Linked DNA regions of Schizosaccharomyces pombe. The protein of the gene in region 2 interacts with the protein of the main gene of each other region in a biochemical or structural test. Each region holds a gene or a part of one and is shown on either strand. Other genes may lie near its edges.

What was found.
Region 1: the proteins of klp5 (region 2) and kms2 form a complex in vitro, tested with the Schizosaccharomyces pombe proteins (one study listed by BioGRID).

The regions. Positions count from the first base shown.
Region 1 is NC_003423.3:645,964-652,940, reverse strand, and holds kms2 (protein Kms2), read left to right. Parts: upstream 1-3,921; 5' UTR 3,922-3,951; coding exon 3,952-4,014; exon of another isoform or gene 4,015-4,057; coding exon 4,058-4,804; exon of another isoform or gene 4,805-4,870; coding exon 4,871-5,434; 3' UTR 5,435-6,005; downstream 6,006-6,977. Other genes in the region: DNA replication factor C complex subunit Elg1, read right to left, coding at 108-441, 489-1,332, 1,377-2,961; rba50 (RNA polymerase II-associated protein), read left to right, coding at 6,363-6,977.
Region 2 is NC_003423.3:1,709,323-1,716,299, forward strand, and holds the start of klp5 (kinesin-8 family plus-end directed microtubule motor Klp5), read right to left. Parts: upstream 2,796-6,977; 5' UTR 2,600-2,795; coding exon 2,569-2,599; exon of another isoform or gene 2,513-2,568; coding exon 1-2,512. Other genes in the region: cay1 (cactin), read left to right, coding at 3,781-3,906, 3,953-4,204, 4,260-4,352, 4,399-4,851, 4,935-5,564; cytochrome c oxidase subunit VII Cox7, read right to left, coding at 5,818-5,838, 5,889-5,981, 6,049-6,114. UniProt on the Schizosaccharomyces pombe protein: Has a role in establishing metaphase during mitosis. Required for chromosome segregation where it generates tension during kinetochore capturing.

The DNA.
Region 1 (6,977 bases), 1.1 Mb from region 2:
TAAAGATTTGATATATTCAGTAGTATACACTATATACAGAAACAGTGAAACTTATTTTGGTTTCAACTGGAGGAGTTGTTTTTTAAAATAAAATGGAAATGTAGAAGCTAATCTAGAGTTGTTGAAAACCAAGTAGACAGTATGCGGTCGCTACCTTCTAGATATTGTAGTCGTCCATAGTTATATCCAGCGCTCCGTAATATACTCGCTGCACCTCTTCTCGATATATGAGATGCTGAACGACCTTTCGATGAGAGAAGCAACTTATAGCTGTTTAGACGAATGCGATCATATCTTCGCATACAACGAACAAAGGGTGCAACTTCAAGGATCAAAATGTCATTAGGACGGTCAATGCTGTTAGGGGGGGTATAAGAGGTGACCTGTGAATTAGCAAATGATAAAAACGAAAGAATGTTATAAACATCATCCGGATCAAGTCTAAATTAAACAGTAAGTAAGATTTTCTATTTTTTTTGTAACCGTACTTGTAACCTATAGTTGACGCTAATGCAGATAGCTGTAATTCACGGTTATTGAGAGCTTTTGGAACAATGCTATCGTTACTGGAAATAGCTTTCAAAGAGCTTTTTGAAAATAAGTTATTAATAAAGCAAAATGAATGGTATTGAAGCTTTAATTCATGGGGTTCGGGAGGAGCGTTGGCATGAAAGGGATTCGAAATCGTTGGAAATCCCACAAGATTATCTTGAAACGCGTTAGCGCAATTATCCCGACATTCCAAACTCATATCTTCAAATGACGCGGAATCATTCATTAACTCATAAGTCTCATAAATAGTGGGTTGAGAGCTAAAGCGGTAATCTACATAAGAGAGAGAGTCCGCGTATTGATGGCTGTAAATTAATTTTTCCATAATTGCTTCCTTCTCTTCCATTTCAGACTTTGGGACGCAAACTTTTCTCCAATTTACTAAATTCGGCATGAACAGTAACCCAATATCTCCCATTTGTTCCTCAGAATACGTTTGCAGTAAATCTTCACTAGTTTGAATTCGTGGGTTGTAAACTCCAACGCCTTCATCAAAGGCAGAAATAGTTGCCTCAATAAATGGTTCATGAGAATCATCTTGCTTATCTTTAGAAGGCAAAGAAGGGAAATTTACAAGGGACCAAAAGTTTAATTGCATTAGTATACCTCGCAAATCAGAACCATATCTGTAGCTTATTGATTCAACAACATTTCTTGATATGATGCAACGATCAGCATACAATACACTAGAAATATAGTCGGTTAGCAAGGCAGAAGAGATGGACTGAAATTGCACAATGTGGTCTTCCTGAAGAAAGGCAGAAGGTAAAAAATCAGTTTCTAAAATTATGTTAGTAGTGGAAAAACTAAAACATTCTCCCTACCATTACAAGTCATGACAACAGGACGTTTAGATTTTTCAATTAAAGTAGAGACTGCTTGCCAAAAGCCACGATCGTCCTGAAATAAAATATCAACTTCTTCAAGTAGGATAAGAATGTCAGGAGTATTATTAAGCCTAGATTTATCAACGATATGACTTTGTGTTAGCTCACCAATCCGTTCAAGCAGCTCTTTTCCCGAGCGTCTCATTCCCGGGTGTATTTCAACAACTTCAAAATTAAGCTCACGACATATGGCATATAAGCATGAAGTCTTTCCTATTCCCGTAACACCAGTAACAAGCATCCAGTTAGAAAATTGAGAAGATGTAAGCTTTGCTTTTTTACGCGACACAGAAGGATTGAACTCGTCGGAATCATCTTCTTCTTCAATGATATCCGGTTCAAAGTCACTTTCCGAAAGAGAATCTTCATTTCTTTTAGAAGATGTACAAGAATGAATAGTCGAGGATCGAGATATAGAAGATGAAGGAGGTACAGATGAGCTTTCAGGTTTGGTCAACCTACATGACCTTAGCCAATCCGCTATCTTCGAAAGGCATTGAGAGAACGCACAGCAATCTTGTGTTTTAGATGGAGCATATTTTGACACCCACAGTCCTTTTTCTAATATTTGTGGGATCATTGGCATTTCAACATTAGGATCTGATGGCAAAAGTCTTGACAAAACCTTTTGAATAAAAGGAGCCGGTGAAAAGCACAACGATTCCAAAGCAAAAGTATGAAGTTTAGAAGGAGTAACCTGTAATACTTCTGTTTTATTTTTCTCAGCTAATGGGGTTATCATATTCGCGGTGGTGGAGGAAAGAACCTCCTTAAACGAAAGATGAGAGGTCTCTTCTAAAATGGCTTCTTCTAAATGCTTTTTCGGAAACCAGAAAACACTCGGCTCAATAGAGCCGGCATACTCTAACATACTCTGGGAATCGGGTGTCGGCCATAATGGATCAAGTAACCTCTCTGGCTTAGTACCGCCTCTTTCTTCACTTACAAATTTGATTTCAGAATTCTTTTTCACAGACTTTGACATGAAAAACGGGTGCATGGATGTGACAGTATTTCGCAGATTACTAGGTGAATCTGCTAAGTTTGAATAATGTAACTCGGAAACAAGGGGGGAAGAATTAACTGTTTCCTGTGAATTAATATTCTCAACTAAAATATTAGTATCTGATGCTTCTCCCGACGACTTAGCAGGCGGAAAGGCAGTTGAGTTGGTATCATTGCTGAGTTTTGGGTGTAATATATTCTCAATTTTTTGACCCAAGGAAGTCGATACTTTAAGCGTTACTAGTAAAGATTGATCATTTTCAAAGTCTTTGCTTTCCTCCATATCCATATCAAAGAATTTCCTCATGTAGCTACGTTCCTTATGAAGTGATCGGCTTCTTCGAGGTTTACGAGACCCTGACAAAGGAGATTTGCCAAAATATTTATTTTCAGATGTGGCAGGGACTGGTGACATTGTGTGTCTCCTCCCAATAGGCTTTTCTTCTTTTGCTTCATTTTCGGATTTTAAATCAGGATTACTCTGCGAATCTGCAGACAAATAGCCTACAATTTGCATAGGGATCTTCAATCACCGCATAAGTTCAATAAAAGTCCTAGTTTGAATGATTTTTAGAAATAGTTTCACAGGTTTCTCAGCTTTCAACAGTTTGGTTAAGGAGAGGTAGACAAAGACTCCGTGTACTAGTGAACGAGTATTGGGAATTCGATAAGCTTATAGTTTAGATTTATTTATTTTTAAGTATGTTTTAGATTACTGAAATTCCTAAATAAAATATCGTTGCACCATTGAAGCAACACGATCCTCCATATTATCATTGTTATGTGTAAGCTGTCAGTAATTGAATAGAGAAGTAGGAGATATAATCGTCACAGTTAAGCTTTTTCATCTCTTTTAAAAACGACTTACCAACTTTTAATGTGAGTTTGCTTATTCCATGCAAAGAAAACCGAGTTCAATAGCTATTAATCCATAGCCTAACATAATCAGTGAAATAGTCAAAAGAAAAATTTGATACTAATATACTTTTTAGAAAATTTTAAAGAATTTGTATAATTACTATTTCTACTACCGCCAATTAGTCGGAACGCTGACTAACTTTTTGTGCATCGTTGTAAAATAAAGGAGAGCAGAATTTCACTTGTTTATGATTGTAGTAAATTTTCTAAGTTAAGTAGTCTATTTACTTCAATTAAGTAAATCTAGATTCAAGAAACGGATCACATTTGTTTATCTGTTTATTTATTTGTTTGTTTTTTAAAAAAAGGTAAGTGTAAAGCTTTCCTTCCACTTTAACTCAATCAGTAAAAAATAATTTATTTTGAAGATGATTTTGCTAACAATTTTATACATTTCGTACTGCAACATTTTGCTAAAATATCCTGTTTATGTTTTGACTTGCACTTTGTTTACTTTTTTAAGGCAACTTCTATAACGTATTGTTCTGCATTACATTACAAAAATAAGAAAATCGCACAAGTTATCGTTAACAAACCTGCCTTTATACTAATTCTGTTTAACCAAAGCACATGTCAATAAACAATCAAAATGGATGAATACATCCCTTTTGACGATATTGTGCGCCAATACGACCCAGATTATACAGGAAAAGTAATTTCTCATTACTTGAAAAATAGTTTCTAATTTTCGACAGGTTTCCATTCAAGCATTTTTAGAAATTGTCGACGATGTTGACGCATTGCGACTTAATCCAGAGGCCCCTTTGCTTGATAATGAGCAAAGACAATCGGCCCAAGATTTTATAAAAGATAACAGTGAGATTGTAGTGTCTACGAGTGAAATTAAGAATTTGTTTTATGAGTTAACTGGTCTTGACCCTGATACCCTTCCTGTAAACAAATTAGCTTTGCGCGAGAATGGGGTATTACCAAGAAAAAGTGTAGCGAAGCCTCAAAAAATATCAGAAAATCGAATAAAGAGAAAAGATATGTTTTATCAAGACGCAAGTTACATAACACCAAGAAAAGGATCACCTTTGAGTCATTCAACCCCTTTGTCAATGTTTCGAACTAAAAATGAATATGGATCAAATAAAGGATTTTCTCATATAAACAAGGAAAATGCTGATGATTCTTTAATTCAACAGCTTTATGAAAGGATAGAGCTTCAAGCGGCAGAATTACGTTCTAAAGACGAGCAAGTTAAAGAACTAAACGCGCGAAATGCAAAATTATTGGAGGAATTGGATTCTTCGGAAGAAGCTTGCAAGTCTTGTTATACCCAAGCGAAAACCTGGGAGAAAAAATTTCGTGAAGCTCTTCGTGATTCTAAGGAGTATGCAGCTCAATTACAAACCATTCATGAAGAGTATGAGCAACAGCAAGCCCATATTGTGAGAATGGAAGAGCTAATCCATGCTGTAGAAAAGGAAAGGAAAACGGTATGATTTTTAAGAATATGCCTTATTCGAGGTAGAGACAAGCCAGTTTACTAATTTGTTTAATAGGAAACAGATTACATGAAGAAAGAATCTTTGTCGGAACAAAAAGAAAGAGGCGCTTTTATGGAGTCAAACATGATTTTAGAAGAAAAGGTTGCACATCTTCAGTTGGAAAACGAGCAGTTGAGACTATTTTTTAAGGAAAAGGCGCCTCAACCCTTCCAAAATCACCCTCCGTATCAAAATCTAAAAATTACTTTTCCCAGCCCTTTCTTTCACATCCCTTACATCCCTAAAACGGAGACTTTGAACGATTCCCAATTTGCCGCTGGTCTCTCTTTACTGGCATCAGAACTTGAAAGTCAAAAAAATCTGTTAAAGAAGTTCGAAAACTTAAAAAAGAAGTCTTCCAAAGATTTTTTATCTCCCTCCACCATACTCTCTAATGCTTTTTCCAAAGTTTCACTCCCCAATTCTTTAATTTTGCGTGTCTTATTTTTTTCATTGTTGTTCATCATCGGAATTCATATTTTTTATTTTTTGTTTTTTCATGTTGCAACAATTCAACAATGGCCTTTTCTTTTTTGGTTACCATCTACAAAATTCGACAATCGTTGGTCTCCGACATGAATCTTAGATTCAAGTTTAATCCAATTTTTATTTTCAAAGCACGGATTCCAAACTTAATTGCTATAATTGAACATTGATTCAAGATTTATGTATATTGGAATAATTGATGTATTTATGGGGCTCTGCTCAATTCAAGACGATCTGTATCTTCTAACTCTTCGCCTGATAGGCAACGGACAAGAAGTTTACATTGAGCTAATAATTAGTCGCATCTCATCTGCGTTTGGTTTTAGGTGTGTCATATGAAAAAGGGTTAAAGCGACGTTTTTCGTTTTTATGTTTGAATTAAGATATTTTCTCTGAGACGAAATATTTTTAGTGTTTATCATTCTTTTCTTGTCTAATCTTCTACTCGCCACTCATTTTTCTGTTCTCTATTTTTTCTTTTTGGATGAATGTCGTTTCTTCTAATAACTTCTTTCTTTCTTTAATCTTCAAGGATAGCCCAAGTCCTATTAAACTCGGATACTATCTTTCTCATAATTTCTCTTTTATAACTAGAAAACTTTTTCACGAATTAATTATTTATTATGCACTTTTAATATTAAATGAAAAGTATTGAATTAAAAAAGGAAAAAACCATCCATTTTTCATATCATGTAAACATTTAGTTTTTTTTCCATACAATAAATCAATTTTTACAGTTACGTTATCATATATAGTGAGATGTACCGTTATTTTGTGAGCGCAAAATAGCTAAGAAAATGAGAGAAAACGTAACCATCCCTGCAATCTACCAAATGGTATGTAAATAGTGAAAGGGAGAAAAAACTCATAAGGTTGAAGTATTTATTATTCATTTAATCAGAATCTCATAATACTATCTCAGAGGGCTTTATTCGTGAGGTTTGAAGAAATTGACCCTTAAATTCTTATAAAAAGGAAACATCTACATACAAAAAGCAGATATTTTCAAAATTCAATCGCTATGGAGAATCACAGGAGTGTATTCTCAAATGTGATAGGTGATATTGTTGAAAAACCGCCGAAGCAACTTGTTGAAGTGAAGAGGTCAGTTCAGCGGCATGCTAGGGGATTTCCAGCCGTTTCACGAACATTGCCGAAACGAGAATCGAAATCAATGAGTGCTTATAAGGAGAAGATGCTTCGAAAGAATAAGGAATCTCCGGGTTTGGAAGGAAAAGGGAATTTGGATGATCAAGGTATTGATGAGGAAAATCGCGTTCGTTTGGAAAGGATGAATGATCTGGAAATTGAAGGAGCTCAAGAGGAAATTAGGGCCACTATTCGTGATGACTTGCTGGAGATGTTGAAAAAGAGAGCGTTTAAAAAGAAGGCGGAACGTGAATTGGCACAAAGGAAAGATCGGTCCTCCCAAGTTAACACACCCGACCTAAGTCAGCGTCCCAGTGATGATAGCTTTTTATCGAATGAAAAATTAAGGAGTTCTGAAAAATTGAATCGCAATCTTCAAAGCGTTTTGTCTAGTGAGGCAGTCGATAGCTCCTCCGGTTCTCCCTCTCCCCCGATGGCGCTGAGCCAAGCTGAGATTCGATCTCGTCAAACAAAGCGAGTTATGTTT
Region 2 (6,977 bases):
TTCGGTTTAGAAAAATCAAAGTTGTGAATAGCTTCATTGTTGAGGATGAATGTTGGTGAGTCCATATTGGCTCTGGAAAAATTCAAATCAGGAACTTTTGGGACTGGACTACCATCCAGATCAATAGTGTCCAGATGAGGTAAAGAAACATCGTCAGTTGACGAGTCCTCGGCCAGCAGTTGATCAAGCTGTGTGGATTCACTATTAACTTCTTGCTTTTTCTCCAAAGGACTTTTTATCAAAAGTCCAGGTTCTGGTTTATCTTCCAACATCGGGGAGACAGGCGAAGTAAGATTAATTTCAACATCTATCTGATTCTTATTTTCAGGCCGTTTATGTGCAGGAGTTGAAGGCATATGCATAGTATTAAAGAAGTTCATGTTCTTTAACTTAGAGGTTTGAATGGGTGAGTTATACGCGGAGGCACCTGAGTCAGACGTAGACATTGAATCGTCGAAACGAACCCTCTTTTTTGGAGAACGTTTTGAAAATACAACTGGTTTTTTTGGAGACTTCACGAAAAACATTCGAGGCAAGTTATTATTAAGCAAGGGTTGAGTGGGAAAACTATGAACTCTATCACGATTGATAGTTCGTGAATCATCGGATGTTGAGTTGAGCTTATAACTTTCTGATAAGACAGATATATTAGGTTTCTCGCCAAGACCAATGCCCAACAACCACTTTTCCAGTATCGAGAATAGCTCTTGCATACCTCCCTCTTTTAGCAATGAACTAGCTTTGAAAGAACTTCTAAGAAGGGATTCTAAAACAGGAGTGAACTCATCAACTTTATTCTGAGCATCTAGAACCTGATTCTCAATAATTGATTTTAGCAAGTCAACTTCATCCTGTAACACATCAGCGTACATGGTAGCACCTTCTTGTTTGTATGTGTTGATAATGTGAGAAACACTTCTCTGAAACTTTTGGTATACAAGTTCAGGATCTATATCAGCAATGATCTCTGCACGACGAGTTAACAATGATTCTAACTTTGAACGAACTAAAAATACTCGTTCATCTGCGGAATTCGGAAGTATTCGCTCATAGCAGGATAACCAGTACTTAAGTACGCGAATTGAATCATCAAAATGTTTCACCTTTTCTACCTTATTAATAGTATCATTTTGCAGTGGTAAAGTCTCCTCAAATGTCATACGCAATAAATTTCTGGCTTCTGCAAGCTTCGATTCATGAGCAAAAGATTGAGTTACAGCGTCCTGATCAGAACCATTTGATTGCGATGACAAATCGATCTGTGCGAGACGATTCTCCAACTCTGAAATTTGCTCACGTAACTCAACGATTGCTTTTACATATTGGCTTACATGTCGATCTACACTGATCATGTTCCTTAACACTTCGGTTTTGATATTCTTTGCTCGATTAGCATATTTTAGAGTATTGTGAGTTTCTTCGTAATGAACAGAAGACGGAGATACGCAAACAATCATAACTGTCCGACAATTTCCGCCTAAACTAAACTTAAGTAAGCGAGTAAGTTTAGAATCACGATAGGGGACATGCGCACGGCGATGGGGATCACAAAGGGCATTGATACAATTTCCTAGGGCTAAAAGAGATTTATTAATATTAGCACCTTCAAAAAGACGACTACCTCTTAATTTGGTAGCTGTTGCACGTTCTGAGCCAGCCAAGTCAATAATTGATAAAGTGGCCAAAGTGTGGTCCTCATTGATGCCAGCTGTACGAGGTTTTTGGATCAACGTAACCTGCAATACAGCATGCGAACGAGATGAAGCAGCGTTAGCTTCTGTCGGAGACATAGTACGATTAGCATTTCCCTTCATGATAATATCAATGATTTCTTCCAAAGATTCTGGAGACAAAGAAGTAAGACCTGGTACAGTAATGCGACGGTCTGCATCTTCCCGTAAATTTAATGGCTTTGCTTGATTTGGGGTCGGTGATACTAATAAATCACGAATAGTTTCATTATAAATTTCCAAATAGGAAAGGCGAAGGTCAAAAATTTTTTCATCTCTTAAATGATCCATTCTCTCAAAAAGTTCTTTTAGTGTCAAATATATTAAACCAGGATCTTGCATTGTTCCACTAATGGTGTGAGTTTTACCACATCCAGTTGCTCCATATGCAAAGATAGTAGCATTGAATCCATCCAAAATATTGTCTAATAACGGCCTGGCAGTTCTCTCATACACCTGTTGCTGAGTAGCAGTTTCATCAAAAACCCTATCAAAAGCATAACGAAGATCACGGCCAAATCCCGCAGAATTGTTTGACTTTCTAGATAATCTAGCGAGACTCTGTTGAGAAGTAGAAAGTCTGCGGTTTGTGGCACTCAAAGTAGCCGTTGTTTCATCCGGGGGATCAAATACCAAGACACGTCCATCAAGTACCTTTACTACTCGTCGAATTTGACGTCCTGAACCAGGGTTCCTTAAGGAAGAAGATGTTCCAAATGATAAACGATCTGAGGATGCAATTAAATTTGCAGATTCAGCTGTACTAAATGGGCGAACACGGACTATTTTATGTTAGCAAAAAGATATGAATTTAAAAAACATCACATTAAAGACTAACCTGTAACGGTAATGGACGACTGTCTTGACATTGAAAAGCAAAATTTCCATGCAAGCAATCATCCAAAACAGATGAAAAGAAGGGCACTCGCAAACAACAATTCCAATAACCTTCTTGAATAAAAGCAATTTATATCGAAGATCACTATTAAAATAGATGTAACAGTAGAAAAGAGCGAGAAACGCGTTTTTTGAGTGCGCTTCAATGTTGACTGTTTGGCATTTGCCAAGTTACATTTCTTAGTCAAGTAACGCACTTTGTTTTGAATGGTTGTTATGGCAATAAAAGATGTAAACAATTACATTATTTACATATTTTGACAATAAACACAAATACAGGTAGTTACGATTAAAATCGAGTTGAAATACTGTTTTACCTTTTCATTTTCACTAGTTGTGTATAATGCTATCTCAGTATCATAGATGCTTTTACAGTATTTTTATTATTATAAAAGGCAACTAAATTCGATGATTGAACTGAATCGCTATCGTTTGGTTTGTAACTTATAATGTACACATGCCTGGCAAGATTCTTGCTTTGCTTTACTTTTATCACACTTTAATAAATCGTCCGACAAATTTAAATCATTTTCACCTATAATTGCAATAGAACATCAAATAAGTGTATATATTCTTCTAGCACTTCTATAAACACCACAACTGCTGCACTAGCTACTTTATTGCCAATTAACTGATGGCCTAAATATCTGATTAGTTTGAAAGCAGAGGACTAGTGAGCGCTATAAACAAAATTATATTCTATATTTTATATTGGGTATTCCTATATTCGTTAGGTACTAAATACTGAGTTTTACTTCACCTTTTAGTCGATATCGTTGAGACTTTTACCAATAGCAACTATAATGAATTAGGGGTTTTTCGTGCTATAACATTACCGCTCAATTTCTTTCAAACCACCAAGCGTCAAATTAGAACTACCTACTAAGCATTCGAATATGCAATAAAATTTCACCTTTGCCATAACCATAAATTTTACTATTGTTGGATAAGTCTTATTATTGCTAAGTAATTGATTACCTTAAGTTCATTTATCAAATAACAAAGCTCTACGTTTCAAATTTCAAAAAAAAAAACTTAACCTACTCATTGAGTTGTTTCAAATAAAAAAAAAGCAATTGGATTCTCTTCTGTTGGAAAGCACCCTTCATACAGCAATATTGGTATTTAAGGCATTGAATTTAAATATATTACTATGGCATTTCGTGATTCAACTCGCGATTTCAACAGAAGTAGACCTGAAAAAAGGCATGCTTCGAGATCTTCTTCACCTCGTTCATTTCGACCTTCAAATCAAAATGCAAGAGCAAATTATAATTTAGTAAGTAGGAAAATGTTAGTTGTTTTTGAATTAACCTTCCCTTTAGCCGAGAGTGAGAGATGCTATGAAAGAGGAAGAGCGAAGTAGGGAAACGAAAGAAATGCAAGAACGGGAATTTTTGCGTTTACAGCAGCTTCGAAGAGCTATTATTCGACTTAAGAATGATCGTTCTAAGCCTATAGATAAACTTCTTGTCAGCGTTTACTTGATGCCAGGCCCAGAATGGGAAGAGAATGGAGAAAAAAATTCAATTGATTTTGGAACAGTTGACATGTTTGATCCACTCTCTGTTATTCAAGTAAGGGACTTATTTTATTTTTACTTTATAACAGATTAATCATTAACATACTTAGAGTTATAAAGCAGAAGATTTGGAGGAGATATCTAGAAATATTGGTGATATTCAGCAGCTGGAAACGAACCAATGTAGACTAACTTATTGGAAGGTATGGATTATTTTTTATGCTTTAAGTGCTAAATTATACATTATAGTACGTTAAAATGCTAGTGAATTCTCGAATGGAACATAACAAAGTTGGGCAATTTTCAAGAGGGTTAAAGGTCGTAGCAGGTGAAGTACAAAGGATTTTAGCCCCTAAATCTTTTGAACAATTAGAACAGCTTGAGGCACAAATTCAAAAAAAATTGAAGAGCAATGTCCCTCTCGATACAGATTATTGGGTTGATTTACTAAACTCTTTAAAATCTTACAAGGCCATTGCTTATTTAAAAAAGACTTTTAATGAAGAATTACAAATTCGAAAAAATAAACTTGATAATGAAGAATGGGACAAAGCTTTTTCCGATGCCAAAAAACTGTCAAATATGAAGGATCGTGAAGAGAAGTTATATATTGTCCCTATAGACCCGAAGCCCATTTTGAGGGCTCAAGCGATACCACGCAGGATACAACCTGAAGAACAAGCCGATTATGAAAAAGAATTGGTAAGATATTTGTGTTTTTCATAATATTAACTCTCTTCCAAATTACGATTTCCATCTTTTGTCCTAACCAAAATCTTTTCTAGAATGATCATGTCAATATTGTAAAGTCTAGCACTTATATTCCAATATCGATACCTACCCAAAAACAAAAGCCAACTTTGCCGAAAAACAGTAATCTGATTAACGAGGATGAATTTTCAATTGCCAACAGGGCACGACTCGAAAGAGAATACTTACAATCCGATGATGCAGAGGAGCAAGAGATGCTTGGGGACTATGTAGAAGGGCAAACCCGTGTTGTTAACGAAAACGGGGTTACTTTGAAAAAGCCTCACTACTTTAATAGAGTTTTGCTTGGGTTTGAATGGAATTCTTATAATCAAGCACATTTCAATGAAGCCCACCCACCTCCCAAAGCAGTTCAAGGGTACCGTTTTAACGTTTTTTATCCAGATTTAATAGGTACAGGCCGTGCACCAACGTATCGAATAGAACGAACACGAAGGAAGAATAAAAGCGACACTACTGATTTACAAGACGATGTTTGCATTATACGTTTTATAGCTGGGGAACCATATCAGGATATTGCCTTCAGTATAGTAGATAAAGATTGGGATTACAGTGCAAAACGAGATCATGGGTTTAAAAGCAGTTTTGACAATGGTGTTTTATCCCTCCATTTTCGATTCAAAAAGCTTCATCATAGAAGGTAAAATAACTGATTTATCATGTTGTACATTTAATGAAATTTAAATTACTGTTACATGTGCAGCTAAACAACCTTAAAAGGCATCTACTAAACTACTTAAGTATTGCATAAATAAGTTTAATCGTAAAGAAACACGAAATCGATTAGTTCGTGATTGAAAAGCTAAACTAATTCAAGAAGAAGGGGGTGATAAATAGAAGGAAAAGGCATCATAGAAATTTGAAGTTCCCTGACATAAAAATATGCTTCGGATGTCCTCAAAAAGCATCTTTCTTCCCCTAATTTTGAAAGGTTAGAAAAAAATAGTATAAATCGAGTAATAACATACGAAAATGACTCTTCCAGAGGCATAAAGGGAATACAAACCAAGACCAGCCATAACAGCGTAGTAAGGATAAACAAGAGCAAAACTACCTGGTCTCTAAATATTAAACAATTAGGTTCTTTTTTCTCTTCATAATTAAAAACAAGTTTCGTTTAAAACTTACCTGCAAGTAAGTTGGTTTGTGGATGCTTTGGAGAAAGCGTTGTTGTTGAACAATAGTATTCTTCATTTTTTTCTTTTTTAATTAATAATTGTTTTAATAATTATAAAACGAACCAATAATCAAGTTAACAAGTTAAACTGTTAAAAAAATGAGGGTTAACGATAAAATGTAGGTAGGTGCGGAAAGGATTGATGGTTCCAATTAGTACATCTTGGTGCCAGAACACAGAGTCAACCTCATAAACTCACATATTTAAGTATATTAATAAGACGGTTAAGTGAAAGATATTCGTATTATTAAAAAAATGCTCCTTTATCGTTTTTGGTATGTATCATTTTAAATTAATCTTACTGAACGAGATTAACGCTAATAATATAAATTAATTGTTGTCAAATAATTTAAGGACGGAATCATTGTCAGATTGATTCTTCTTCAAAAACTAAAGCTATCTCCTTATAAGCTATTGGGGAATCTCTTTCAAACATGGTATAAATGCGTCCATGGCATACTCGGAGCAATAATAGTATAGCGATCAAAGTTAATAATGAAGATGCATTTGCTTGTACTTATATAAATTCTTATGGTTGTTGAGATAAGGGAACAATTTTATACTGAGTTACATATGTTCTATCCTTCATCAGTATTCTCTACAAACGCGAAAATTCCTTGTCCATTTAAGCAATTCGTATTACAAAGCTCTATGTTCATATTATACGAAGGACGTTGAAAGTTTTTAATTGATTCTGACAATGACTTACAGATAGAATATGATGGTTTGAGTTATTGAAAATGCTAAATCGTCTTTTCAAGTAATTGATGAACTAAAACAGTTTCTTATACATTATATTTCAGAAAGTACTTTAAAGATACTCTGCTTTCTTCCTTGTTTTTTTTTTTTTTTCTTTTTTTTTTTTTTTGGAATACTAATA